2 linked regions of the Arabidopsis thaliana genome follow. The protein of the gene in region 2 purifies or fractionates together with the protein of the main gene of each other region. This does not show direct contact. Each region holds a gene or a part of one and is shown on either strand. Other genes may lie near its edges.

What was found.
Region 1: the proteins of AT1G51980 (region 2) and AT3G27240 fractionate together in Arabidopsis thaliana (co-fractionation; one large-scale study listed by BioGRID). This does not show direct contact.

Annotation. Positions count from the first base shown.
Region 1 is NC_003074.8:10,055,225-10,060,741, reverse strand, and holds AT3G27240 (Cytochrome C1 family), read left to right. Parts: upstream 1-1,968; 5' UTR 1,969-2,131; intron 2,132-2,342; 5' UTR 2,343-2,371; coding exon 2,372-2,431; intron 2,432-2,772; coding exon 2,773-2,984; intron 2,985-3,381; coding exon 3,382-3,661; intron 3,662-3,748; coding exon 3,749-3,820; intron 3,821-3,900; coding exon 3,901-4,017; intron 4,018-4,117; coding exon 4,118-4,183; intron 4,184-4,481; coding exon 4,482-4,598; 3' UTR 4,599-5,012; downstream 5,013-5,517. Other genes in the region: AT3G27230 (S-adenosyl-L-methionine-dependent methyltransferases superfamily protein), read right to left, coding at 5,286-5,517. UniProt on the Arabidopsis thaliana protein: Component of the ubiquinol-cytochrome c oxidoreductase, a multisubunit transmembrane complex that is part of the mitochondrial electron transport chain which drives oxidative phosphorylation.
Region 2 is NC_003070.9:19,322,531-19,328,871, forward strand, and holds AT1G51980 (Insulinase (Peptidase family M16) protein), read right to left. Parts: upstream 4,389-6,341; 5' UTR 4,242-4,388; coding exon 4,203-4,241; intron 3,893-4,202; coding exon 3,647-3,892; intron 3,570-3,646; coding exon 3,273-3,569; intron 3,179-3,272; coding exon 3,011-3,178; intron 2,909-3,010; coding exon 2,741-2,908; intron 2,639-2,740; coding exon 2,561-2,638; intron 2,456-2,560; coding exon 2,389-2,455; intron 2,263-2,388; coding exon 2,165-2,262; intron 1,931-2,164; coding exon 1,861-1,930; intron 1,762-1,860; coding exon 1,691-1,761; intron 1,571-1,690; coding exon 1,521-1,570; intron 1,411-1,520; coding exon 1,298-1,410; intron 1,209-1,297; coding exon 1,162-1,208; 3' UTR 525-1,161; downstream 1-524. UniProt on the Arabidopsis thaliana protein: Substrate recognition and binding subunit of the essential mitochondrial processing protease (MPP), which cleaves the mitochondrial sequence off newly imported precursors proteins.

The DNA of each region.
Region 1 (5,517 bases), on a different chromosome or scaffold from region 2:
TAGCAAAATGTATGGTCCAACACATAATATACAGTATTAAATTTTGACGGCCGGCAACTATAGGCGAAGAAACACACACGTTGTTGAATAGAAGCAATGTGAATATATCTTTACCCACATAGATGCATACACATAGGTCCATATGATAAGTTAAATGGTATGTTTATTTCCCCAATTTTCTTTTATTTTTAGTTGAGATTTTTATATTATATGAACGCATGGGTCCTACGTAAACACACAATATGCTGTTTCACCTTATTCGAAGGCTCTTATTGGTCCTCGTAATCTCCGACCAATCAAATTGCACTATGTGTCCTCCATTTCTCACTTGAAAAGCTGTTATGTCATGACTCATCAAACATTCATACTTACATATGCATGTCTACGTTGAGCACGAAAAAAGAAGAAGGAATTATGCGCATCATTAGCATGCCGATATATGTGAGTAAACGAATAAGAAATGTTAGCGATCTAATGATATTTGCAGACATAATATAGTTGTTAAAAAAAAGAAAAAGACTAATGTATTAATTAATTGTTAAATAAAACAAGCAAAAACTGAAACGAGTAGAGTTTTTATTTTTTAATAGATTTTATCAAAAAAAAAAGACTGCGTCTGCATGGAGTAATTAATACTGCGTTGAATTATAATTTTGTTTAGGTGTTTTGAATAGTTTTTTTTAATCTATATTTTCACAACAACTTTTGTTAATATAGTCCAGATGGATGCCACATAACAAAAGGTTTTTTTCTAGTAACAAAACAGGATTAGTAACTAGGCATACACTGATACACATTCGGTTCGGTTCAATTCTTCGGGTTTTGGGTTATTCGTTTTTAGCTTTTTAGCATCCATAAGGAAACCGAATGTTTTTCAGTTCAGTTAGTCTTCTTTCTTTGTTTTGTGTTACAAATTAAGCGAGCAAGTTAGCTCTCCAGTTTATAATCTCTCTTTGTTGTCACTTTTTGGTATGTAACTTACTAACTTGTGTTGTTGTCATATGAAGAGAAGAATGGGGGACCAAGGATGAAGGTAAGGTTCGGTTCTTTGAGTATTTTGGTTTCTTTTTGGGTACTTCAAGTAAAAATATATAAACCGTAAAAATATCCAAACCTTTGGAGGCTGCTGGTGATGCTTTAATTTATTCCAAATTGTTGAAATATTGTTGAAAACATAGTTTAAAACAAGTATTTCTAGGTCTTGTGGTACATAAAGTGTTCCAGGGATTTTTTCTCGCTGAAGTTCGATGTTTTGGGAAAAAGAGAGTACAAAGCTTGGTTCCCGCAGTTAAGGGCCATTTGACCGTGAGTCTTAGTATTATTTTCCTTTGTGATTGTGGTAGATTGCTTGTTTGTTCTTTTTAAAATTTCTCTCTGACTTTTTGTCGGATATGCGAGACATATGTTTAGTAGATGAAGCATAGTTTCTGACTCGGTCGATGGTTAAGTTACTTAACTTAAGTATGATTCCACTTGATAGTAAAATGTGATTATTCCAGCTAATCACGCATATCACATCAGAATGATTAATGGTCCTTAGATCAAAAATTATCCACAGTTGTAATTAACATCTCATTATCAAGATCATATATTAATAGCACAAGTGATTAGAAGTGAAGCTTCCTCCTAAGAAGTTTCAAAAGTTGTGATTGCCAAAACTTTTTTTAAAGCAAAATCGTGTTTTCAAATTTTCACTGTTTGTTTATATATATAATATGAAATGATTAGACCATTAAGCCAGTTTGAAGTACAAACATTGTCACTAGTATGATAATTCAAACATTTTTTTAATTATCTCCATATTGATTTTTTAAAATCCAACCAAGTCTACTTCTGGTGATGTATGATCCTAAAGTCATATGTTTTACGTTGCATTCGGAAGATTTTTCTTCTCAAAGATAATAAAGATCCACCAAGCTTTTAAACTTTTCAAGTGTTATCTACTTCGACATTTTCTGGGCTCAAGCAGTACGTTGTTGGCCCATTAAGGCCCAAATAAGTAAAACTGTGGTCGTGTGTCTAGCAGCCGCTGTGTCATCGTGGAACTCCCATTTTCTCTCTTTTACTTGTTCGTTCCCAAACTCTTCTCCCTCGATCGTCTCCGTCGCCGATCTCGTTTCTTCATTTTCCGGTGAGATTCTCTCTCTATTTCTCTGTATATCTCGTATTCGAAACCTTCGTTTTCTTCTTTGACATTTGATTGATCAGAGTTATCTATATTCGTCGGATCTGTGTAGACTCAAATTTTCTAGGGCTTGTTCGCTTTTGTTTATTCGTATACGTGTTGTGAAATCGCATTTTCACTGAATCAGTATTCTGATTCAATTTCTTTGTTTCTTCAGCGTGTTGATTGGTACAAAGGTTTAATCAAATGGTTGGAGGAGGAGTTATCCAGCAAATTCTTAGGAGGAAGCTTCACTCCCAATCACTTGTGAGATTTTTTCCAGTCTTAATTTTACATTCTCTTCATTTCTATTTTGATTTACGATTTCAGCTTGGGATCTGTTTTTAAGACATTTTTTTCGGTTCTGTGGTTAAAGATTTGTGTTTTGTGACACTGATGCTCATTAGCTAATGATTTCTTTGTGAAATTTTTCATTTTTTGGAACATAAGACAGGAGACAATGATTTATGTATAGCTTCTGCTTCAATGTCAAATCCTAGTAGAATAGTAGAATGCAGCAATCTTTTGAAAGTCCATTTGGTTAGCATATAACTGAGTTGGTTTGCGGCGAAGTTTTGACTGAGCATTGGTTTTGTGTTATCCTGCAGGCAACTCCGGTTTTGTCTTGGTTTTCTTCGAAGAAAGCTCATGAGGATGCTGGTTCTTCTGGTGTAAGAGCACTTGCCTTGTTGGGTGCTGGTGTTACAGGACTGTTGAGTTTTTCTACAGTAGCATCTGCTGATGAGGCTGAACATGGATTGGAGAGTCCAGAGTACCCTTGGCCTCATGATGGCATTCTTAGCTCATATGACCATGCTTCGTGAGTATTGTCACCACTCTCTCATCTTCTTGTCTGGTTAATAGCATCATTTTATCATTTTCTTATAGATTTTTTTTTGCTTTTATAAGTTAACGTCCTTTCAAGCAATTTTTCAATGAAAAAGGAAATTTTCTTAGAATTGTAAATTTCTTTGAATCAAAAAGTCTATCATGCGTGAATCAAGCGTTTGTATGAGTCTTTGTATAGAAGGAAAAGAAATCATACATAAAATAAGGGGCTTGTTGCTGCCTTTTTTTAATAAAACGATTCAAGATCACCGAAGTCATGTCTAAACCTAAAGAAAGTGACTATCCTGCTACCCTAATATTAGACTGTGAAACTTCAGTGAAATTTTTGTACTGTATGAATTATTGAAAGGTTGATGTTGTATGAGCAGGATCCGTCGTGGGCATCAAGTTTATCAGCAAGTCTGTGCATCATGCCATTCAATGTCTCTGATCTCATACCGAGACTTGGTGGGTGTCGCCTACACAGAGGAAGAGGCAAAGGCAATGGCAGCTGAAATCGAGGTAGTAGATGGACCTAATGATGAGGGTGAGATGTTCACCCGCCCTGGTAAACTCAGTGACCGGTTTCCTCAGCCATATGCAAATGAATCAGCTGCAAGGTTTGCTAATGGTGGAGCGTATCCTCCTGATCTAAGTCTTATAACTAAGGTCTGCTGCTGCTACTTTACTTTAACTGAACATCTGTAGCAAACTTGTGTTTTGTGTTTTAAATAGTTTTAATGTTCTGCCTTCCAGGCACGTCACAATGGTCCAAACTATGTCTTTGCGCTTCTGACTGGTTACCGTGATCCCCCTGCTGGCATATCGGTAAGTTTCTCTCATTTTCCACATTGAACTTCTTCGAATTCAAAGTGCTGGTTATGAAAAATCCGATGATAACTGTACAGATTAGAGAGGGGTTACACTACAATCCTTATTTCCCTGGGGGAGCAATTGCTATGCCGAAAATGCTCAATGATGAAGCTGTTGAGTATGAAGATGGTGTCCCCGCCACAGAGGCACAGGTTATTTTTCCTCCACTTAAAATATAAGAACATAAATCTTTATGCCTTATGGTACTGTCCTTTCTCAGTGTCATGATATAAACTTTACTTTACGGTGCAGATGGGTAAAGATATTGTATCATTCTTGGCCTGGGCAGCTGAACCAGAAATGGAAGAGAGGAAACTGGTAGGTTTATCTTTCTCTGTTCGCTGGTGAACATTGTATTTTCTCCCTAGACTATGCAATTAATACTAGATTTAGTTTATGATCGATCAAGTTGACTTAGAGAACCAATTGTTGTACCAAGTGTGAAGTGCTACTAGTTCTTGGTCTGCTACTAAGATAATAACATTTAGATATGCTGTGAACACAGTTTGACTCGTTTTGCAGACACAAACCTCAGCTTCCAGACCGATACAAAGAATTGACTTTTTTTTGAGGTTACATTTTACATGGCGGTTAATGTTGGTTTCACTATTTGCAGATGGGTTTCAAATGGATATTCCTACTCTCTCTCGCTCTTCTCCAAGCTGCTTACTACAGGCGACTAAAATGGTCGGTTCTCAAGTCCCGCAAGCTGGTTCTTGACGTGGTTAACTAAAGCGCCGCTGAAAAGCTTTTGCATTGGCCTGGCCACACACAGTCGTATTTTCAACAAAGGATGTTAAATAGAGAAGAGCCTTTCTCTGGGTAATAACGTATCATCATTTTTATGTGTCATAAAAATCTTTGATGAGACCAGTTCTCACCTGAAGGTGAAAAGACCTCATCGTTCTTCTTTTTCCTTCGATTATTACTAGAGAGTTTTATGAGGATAATCACGAAAACTTGTTTTTTTCGCCTCATAATAATCACACATGATTTTGAGATTATATCATTTGTTATGTTTTTCCTCTTGTCTCAATAAAAAATAACTTTGTACTCTGATTTTGTTGTCTATTTTCGGCATTTCTTGCATCTGGCTTTGGTTGCATGAGGAGAATTTATTTCAGGTATAACAAAAACACAATTAATGGTACTCATTTTTATTTGTATGGTATATATGGATATTATAACAGAAAAGTAGTAATAATAATCGACAAAATTTCAACACATTATACTGAAAAACTTTTACAAATGATTTTCTCCAATTGCCCTGGTAAATATATAATTGCTTATTCTTCTTCTCTGGAATAAATATCACCTAATGACCTCCAAATTTATAACCTATGATCAAATGTAACTATAAATAGAGAGTTTTACTCTTATGGTCGGTCTTACCATTACGAACTTCCTTTTGCATTCCCGATCAAGCTCTCACTGGCTTTTGCAGAACAGCTGAGAGATAAACTTGTGCATCAGCCTTCTCTCCAATAACCCATTTAAGCTTCTTATACCCAAACCTCTCAATCATACGTGTAAGTTCTTTCTTCTTCTCATCATTAGCACAATAGAAGTTATCCAACCAGAACAATCCACGGGGTTTCAAAACCCGATCAAGATCGAACATCAAGAACTCTAGCTTCTCCGCTTTACCCTCA
Region 2 (6,341 bases):
GATGAAGAGTACTTCAAACAAATATCAAGGATTCAACAGTTTAAGGATTCAACCCGTTCCTATAAATCATAAAACCACAAAATATCCCAAACTGACGATTTCTACTCGTTTCTCTTGGAATTGTGTAGAAGATGACGAAGCGTGGTCGCATTTTGCTCCCAAGGTTACTCTAATTCATCGAAAAAATCGAATTATCGAACCTATTTCTCCCAAGTAAATTATCTGGCTTTTGTTTTGTTTTTTTTTCTTCCTTAAAATTTGTGTCTTTGCGACCAAAGTAAGCCACTTTTAGAAGAGAAAGTTAGAGCTTCGACGTTGCGTGACTTTGCAAGCTGGTCTTTTTAATTAAGACAAAAAGCACTGATTTCGTGTGTTTTTTTACATTACAATTTCTATTCATTTTTAAATTATCCATCGTTCGAAGTTTACAATTATCCCAAAAAAATAACACTTTCTAAAAACATAAACGAAAGTTTATAACTGTAAAGTGTTGAAGTTGTAGATGATCGAACTCTTTACAGTGCTATGCTTGCTCATCCCTCTCCTACCACCATGAACAAACTTGGAATCCCGGAACTCTCGCTTCTTACTGTTCCTCCTCGTCCCATTTTGCCTTCCTTTGCCTCCTCCTGATCAATCCCCGCAAGACACGCTTAGTCTTTTCTTACCTTCTCCTCCCTGGAAACTCTTTCCATTCTCCAAATCCAAGTTTAATTCATTCTGCTTTATCGCTAAAACCGCACTGCATTAAGAAGCCGAGACTTCACTTTCTCCAAGCAGCTATCTGATTTCACTATCTCCGCAAAGTAACCCCGTTCCTTACGTCTACTCAACATTCTCCGGTAACATATATGCAAAATTGAGAACACTTGCATAAAAACTGACACAGTTCTAATTGTACCACTGAAGTTGTTTGCATTACACGTAGTAAAAGATTATTTATTGGAATACAAATACTCCTGAAAATTGGAGAGACAAACCGGACAAAATCCAGTCATTTATATCTGTCGATGGAAACAAAATCCATTTCATAAAAATACGAAACTGTAATTGTAAAAAAAAAAATTAAAATTAAAATTGGTTGGGTCTTCTTCTCCCCAAGATCTTCTTTATTTTACAAGTCCCAAAATATTGTTGATTTGGCAAATTGTTTGTTTTGCTTCAACGAAATTTGCTGCTTATTGTGTCATAGCTCGGAACAGCCAACACTGCCAAAAACAAAAACACGATAAACAATATTAAGACACTAGATCTTGGTTTGTAAAAGATTGATAAGAAAAAAGTGAAAGTTGTTTACCATCTCCAAAGGAACCCATTGTCAAAGGCTTTGAAATAACCTTGCTGGTGAAGTCTGCAATGTCTTTCAAGGTTAGTTGGTCTACTGACTTCAAGAATTGATCAACTGGTTTCCTGCAAGATTTTGTAAAAACCACAAATTATGATGTGTCTGGAATTGAAGAAAACTATGGAGATCTAGTGAACTTCTTCGGGTTTTCAAATGAAGTTCTGCGTATACATACCTCTCTCCGTATGTAAGTATCTGTCTACCAATGTCTTCTGCTGCAATCATCTGGCACAGGAAAACCGTTTGAACACATTCATAACATATAATGGTTTGGATCAAGTTAAACAAATTGGCAACATTTAAGTATTTTTATGTAAGTAGAGGGTGCGAGAGTTAAAAATATACCCGAGATTCCAAATTCATCAGAACTGCAGATTTTGTGGCTGCCTTGGCACGATCAAGATGTGCCTGGTTAACTGTCCAACATAAGAACACAAGGAAAATGTTTCATAGATGTATGAGAATGGTTTCAACTTGTTAGATTAAGTGATAATGGAAGAAACAAAACTGCAAACCTTTTCCTCCTGCAACATCTTTGAGTTCTTTAGCTGCTAATTCAATTGCTTTTGCAGCGAATTGAGGACTCTGCACTCAAAGACACAAATCCCCTATCAGCTAACACATATTACCGAAACACATATCCGGCAATGAATTTTTCAGCTAAAAAAACTTGGACATCACTTTAACCTCAAAGTCAATATTTCTTAAGCTTAACCACAAAAATTGGTATTCCGTTGTTACACATCTCATCAATAGAAAAATGTGGATAAGTAATGAAAGGAAAAACATAGAAAGCGACATCAGGATTGTTGAACTTACCGAGCAACCATAGATTCCAAACAACCCGGTGTCGTTAAAGATGCTAGTGAATGCAGTGCATGACTGAACCTCCTGATATTCGTTTAGAACACGGCGATCTGTAACCAGACATAAGAACTTGTATCACTATTACTGATAGCTTAGCAGTGCGAGAGTATGGTCCGTGAACTAGTTCAATAAACAAAACTAGAATAGGCCAAAAAGAAATACAAGATTTGACTTACAAAGCCACGAGTGCATTCCTTTTCCAGGACCTCCCGCAGAGAATGAGCCACCTCCTCCCATAAGCATCTAATAGCAATTAGATTACATTTTATTACTTTTTCGCCAGTAAAAAAAATTTGATCGAAACAAGTGAAAGTTAAAGCAACCAAAAAGTAAAATTCAATTAGACACCTGGAGAACAGTGGCGGTGACTGCTTCTTTCTCGTTATTCCAGCCAGGCACCTCGAAAGCAACCGCAAAGTGTGTAGCCTGAAAATGGAACAACAAAAGCTCAATAAGAAATGTGACATAGAAACACCTTCATCTCAGACACACTTGTCCAGTGATGGGAAATCTGTCATGAATACCTACCTCTCCACCAGTATGTTGGCGAAAATCTCCACCGACATACTGAGATTTTGGAGCCAATTGGGGTGGTACATTAGGAAGGTCAGAAGTTAATGGCTCAGCAACTTTTAAAAGTTCCTCATGTTCTACTCCACTTGCCGCCAATACCATCCGTGCAGCAGTGAAATTCTCCTGAAATTCCCAGATAAATTGAGTCAAAAAGACAAATAAATAGGATTGTAATTTTGAAATCGCTGAGACGTAGATGGTTCACAAAAGCTCATGCATTCTTACAGTCATAAACTCTTCCAAGAGCTCCCCATTCAATCTATCTAAAGCAGACTCCGGTGCGTACAGAGGACTTGCCAATGGACCAGAGTAACCAGCAGAATGAATGGCCTCCAAGAGGAAACCCATAGGGTTCTTTGCAAGTTCCGCTATCTCTACCTTCATCTTCCGTAGCTGCGGAAAAGATCATCGACACATGGCTAAAAGTCACATAAAAGTTTCAACACAGTTATCAGAATAATACAAAAGGAAAAAAAAAATGATCTACCTCTTCATTCACTTCCCAGTCCAAGAAAGCAGGGTTTCTAACACTGTCAATAAGAACTTCAACCATTTCAGGGACATAGGTCTTAAGAGCATCAATAGTGTAACTCATTTGCTCTCGAGACGCAGAAGCGGATGTGTTGCCTCCAATAGCCTCAATTTCCCTCACAAGACGAAAATGAGTTCTGTTCAACGTGCTCTTGAAAGCCATTCTTTCAAGCAAATGTGTAGCTCCATGGAAATAAGGCGCCTCATAAATAGAACCGCAATCAACATATAAACCAATCGAAGCTGCCGGATTCTGCACACAACATTAACTTTCTTCAGTTCACATTTTCAGGAGTGAAATCAGACATTAAAATTCGTTCTTTTATTTACCGGAGTCGTCTCTGAGGCTATCTTAAGACCATTTGGAAGAGTAGTGATCTGAAGTTTGCTCGGCTCGACTTTATCAGCAAGCGGCGGAGGAAGAGAAACACCTTGTAGAGGCATATCCAATGAAGTAAGCGCAGCACGAGACCCACCACTCAACCAGCTCAAGTAAGCCGGCGTTGACGAACTCGTCTCCGCAACAGCACTAGAACTAGCATAACGCGCTGGTCTCAAACTACGAGTAAGAACTCCCTATATAACACACAATCACAATACATCACATAATAAGAAACCAATCTTTTCTATGGTATCAATCAAAGGACAATAAGAAGAATCATAATCGAAATCATTTCTCTTAAATCGAAAATCAGATGAGTTATAATCTAAACCAATGGATTGACTTTAACCAATCAGAGAAGAGATCATTGTAACCTATAGAAGTAACTACAAACGAAAGAATTTGAATCCAGATCTGTTAATTCACTGAATCGGACCAAATCGTTCCAGAATCTTCCAGGAACAGGATAAAAGGGTAAAATTGTAAAAAGGAATAAGGATGTACCTTAAGAGCCCTGGCTCGTGAAGCTGCCGTGCGATACATGGCGAAGATTGGGTAACCCTAAATCGGAAACTGAGTCGACGACGAAAGAGAGGTTGAGGCTGATGAATAGAGAGAGAGGAGGAGACGGAGGCTTTTTCTCAGTTTATTTACGATTTTGTTTAGTTTAGACTTTAGAATCTAAGTTGCTACGTACTCGGTGATATCTTGCTAACATAGGCCCATAATATGTACTAAAATCTGACCCAATATTGTGTTATGGGCTTGGCCCAATCCTAATATTTATTCAAAGTGGTTTTTAGACTATTTATCAATCTGAACAAATCTAAACTATATAACCTATAGCCAATTTCAACCGTCAAAACATCATCTAATCATCTTTTTCATTAAAAATCTGTTTACTGAAGAATTTTAATAATAATTGAAAATTATCAAAAAATATGTCCATTCTGTATTTACTTAATTAGATTACTGAGTTGGTTTAGTGTGTACTTCAAATATTTTGTTACTAGATTTTAAACCGCGGTATACCGCGAGACGATTTTTTTTTAAAGTAATATATTAAAACTTGCAAATTTTAATTTTATAAAATATTAATATTTTACAGTTTAAAATTGTTATTAGGTAACGTTATACCACGAATCCATGAGACAATTGTTAAAAAACTGAAGTTTTAACCCCTATTAAAACATCATATTAATAATATTTTAATATTTTATAAATATTGATTCAAATACATCCACCATATAACCCAATTCTAAAATAAAATCCGTTATGTAATTTCTTACCCGTCCCATGATTTTTTTTTTAAAGTAGTAATTTTTAAAATTTAAGAATTATTTTTTATATATAAAAGCTTTGCAAATTGTATCATTCTCTAATACATTTATATTTTATAGTTTAATTTTATATATAGTAATATTATACATACCACATAACATTTTTGGTTTTATATAATCTTTTCTAAATTAGGATGATTTGATATGTTTAATATTAGTAGTTTTAAAAAATAATAAATTAAAGATTTAACCCGTATTGAAACGGTGGATTAGTTATATTTTACTTTTTTATTAATGTTGATTCAAAAACCCGTCCCTTCAAATCCGTCTTCCAAAAAGCAATTTATTTTATTAATATTAATTTTATTAATGATATGACTCTGAATTATAATCTAAACATTTTAACTAATAACATAGGAGTGCACCATATTTATTCAATAGGAAAATGTATCATATGACCTGAATGCACTTTTACCCAAATCCACCAAAAAAGCAAATATATTAGTTAGCTTAAATTTGTTAAAGAATACAAATTGAAAAAGTATATTACATTTTATTCGAATATAGTATCAAAACTTATATAACACAGAGATTTGATAATTTTTTAATTGTTGAATACTTTTTGTTTTGCTAATTTTTATGTGATTAAGATTTAATTAATTTCGTATATAAAATATTAAATTATTTTACGAACTTATTTGTTTATAATTTGGTAACAGATAGATATTTGAATATTCAATATATTTTGCTTCAGTTTAGGAAATATTTGATGACCCATCTTTAGATCCAATAAGCCCTATAATCTAGATATTAACCTGCTGTATACCGCAGGTAGACTTATATTTTAGTTAAACTAAAAACTTTTATTGTAAAGATGATTTAAAAATATATGATATTATTTTATTTGATTTTAAATGTATATTAAACTGTGAGTTGTATATGTTTTGTTAATATTATGTATATTGTTTAGTGTTTAAGATTATACACTTGTAGTTTGATTGCTAATTTAAGAGTTTCACCTGTAGTATACCATCTTGTATTAATATCGATCTAAACCCGTCAATTCTAAGATTTTCCAGCTTGTATTAAAAATTGAATCACATCATACATATAAGAAAATCTAATATGTTTTTAATTATTGTAGTATATAAGATTATAAATTTTCAATATAATATGTATGAAATTGAATATAAATATTTCAAATTATGACCCGTTACTCAGTAGAAAGTTTTCTTAAATCTATTTTCACCCGTTATAATATTTTTTCATGTATTGAACAGTTTATATTCGTTTTTAAAAAATCAAATTATGGCATATGCGAAAAAACTCTAATTATTTTTTATAATGATGATATTATTTTTCG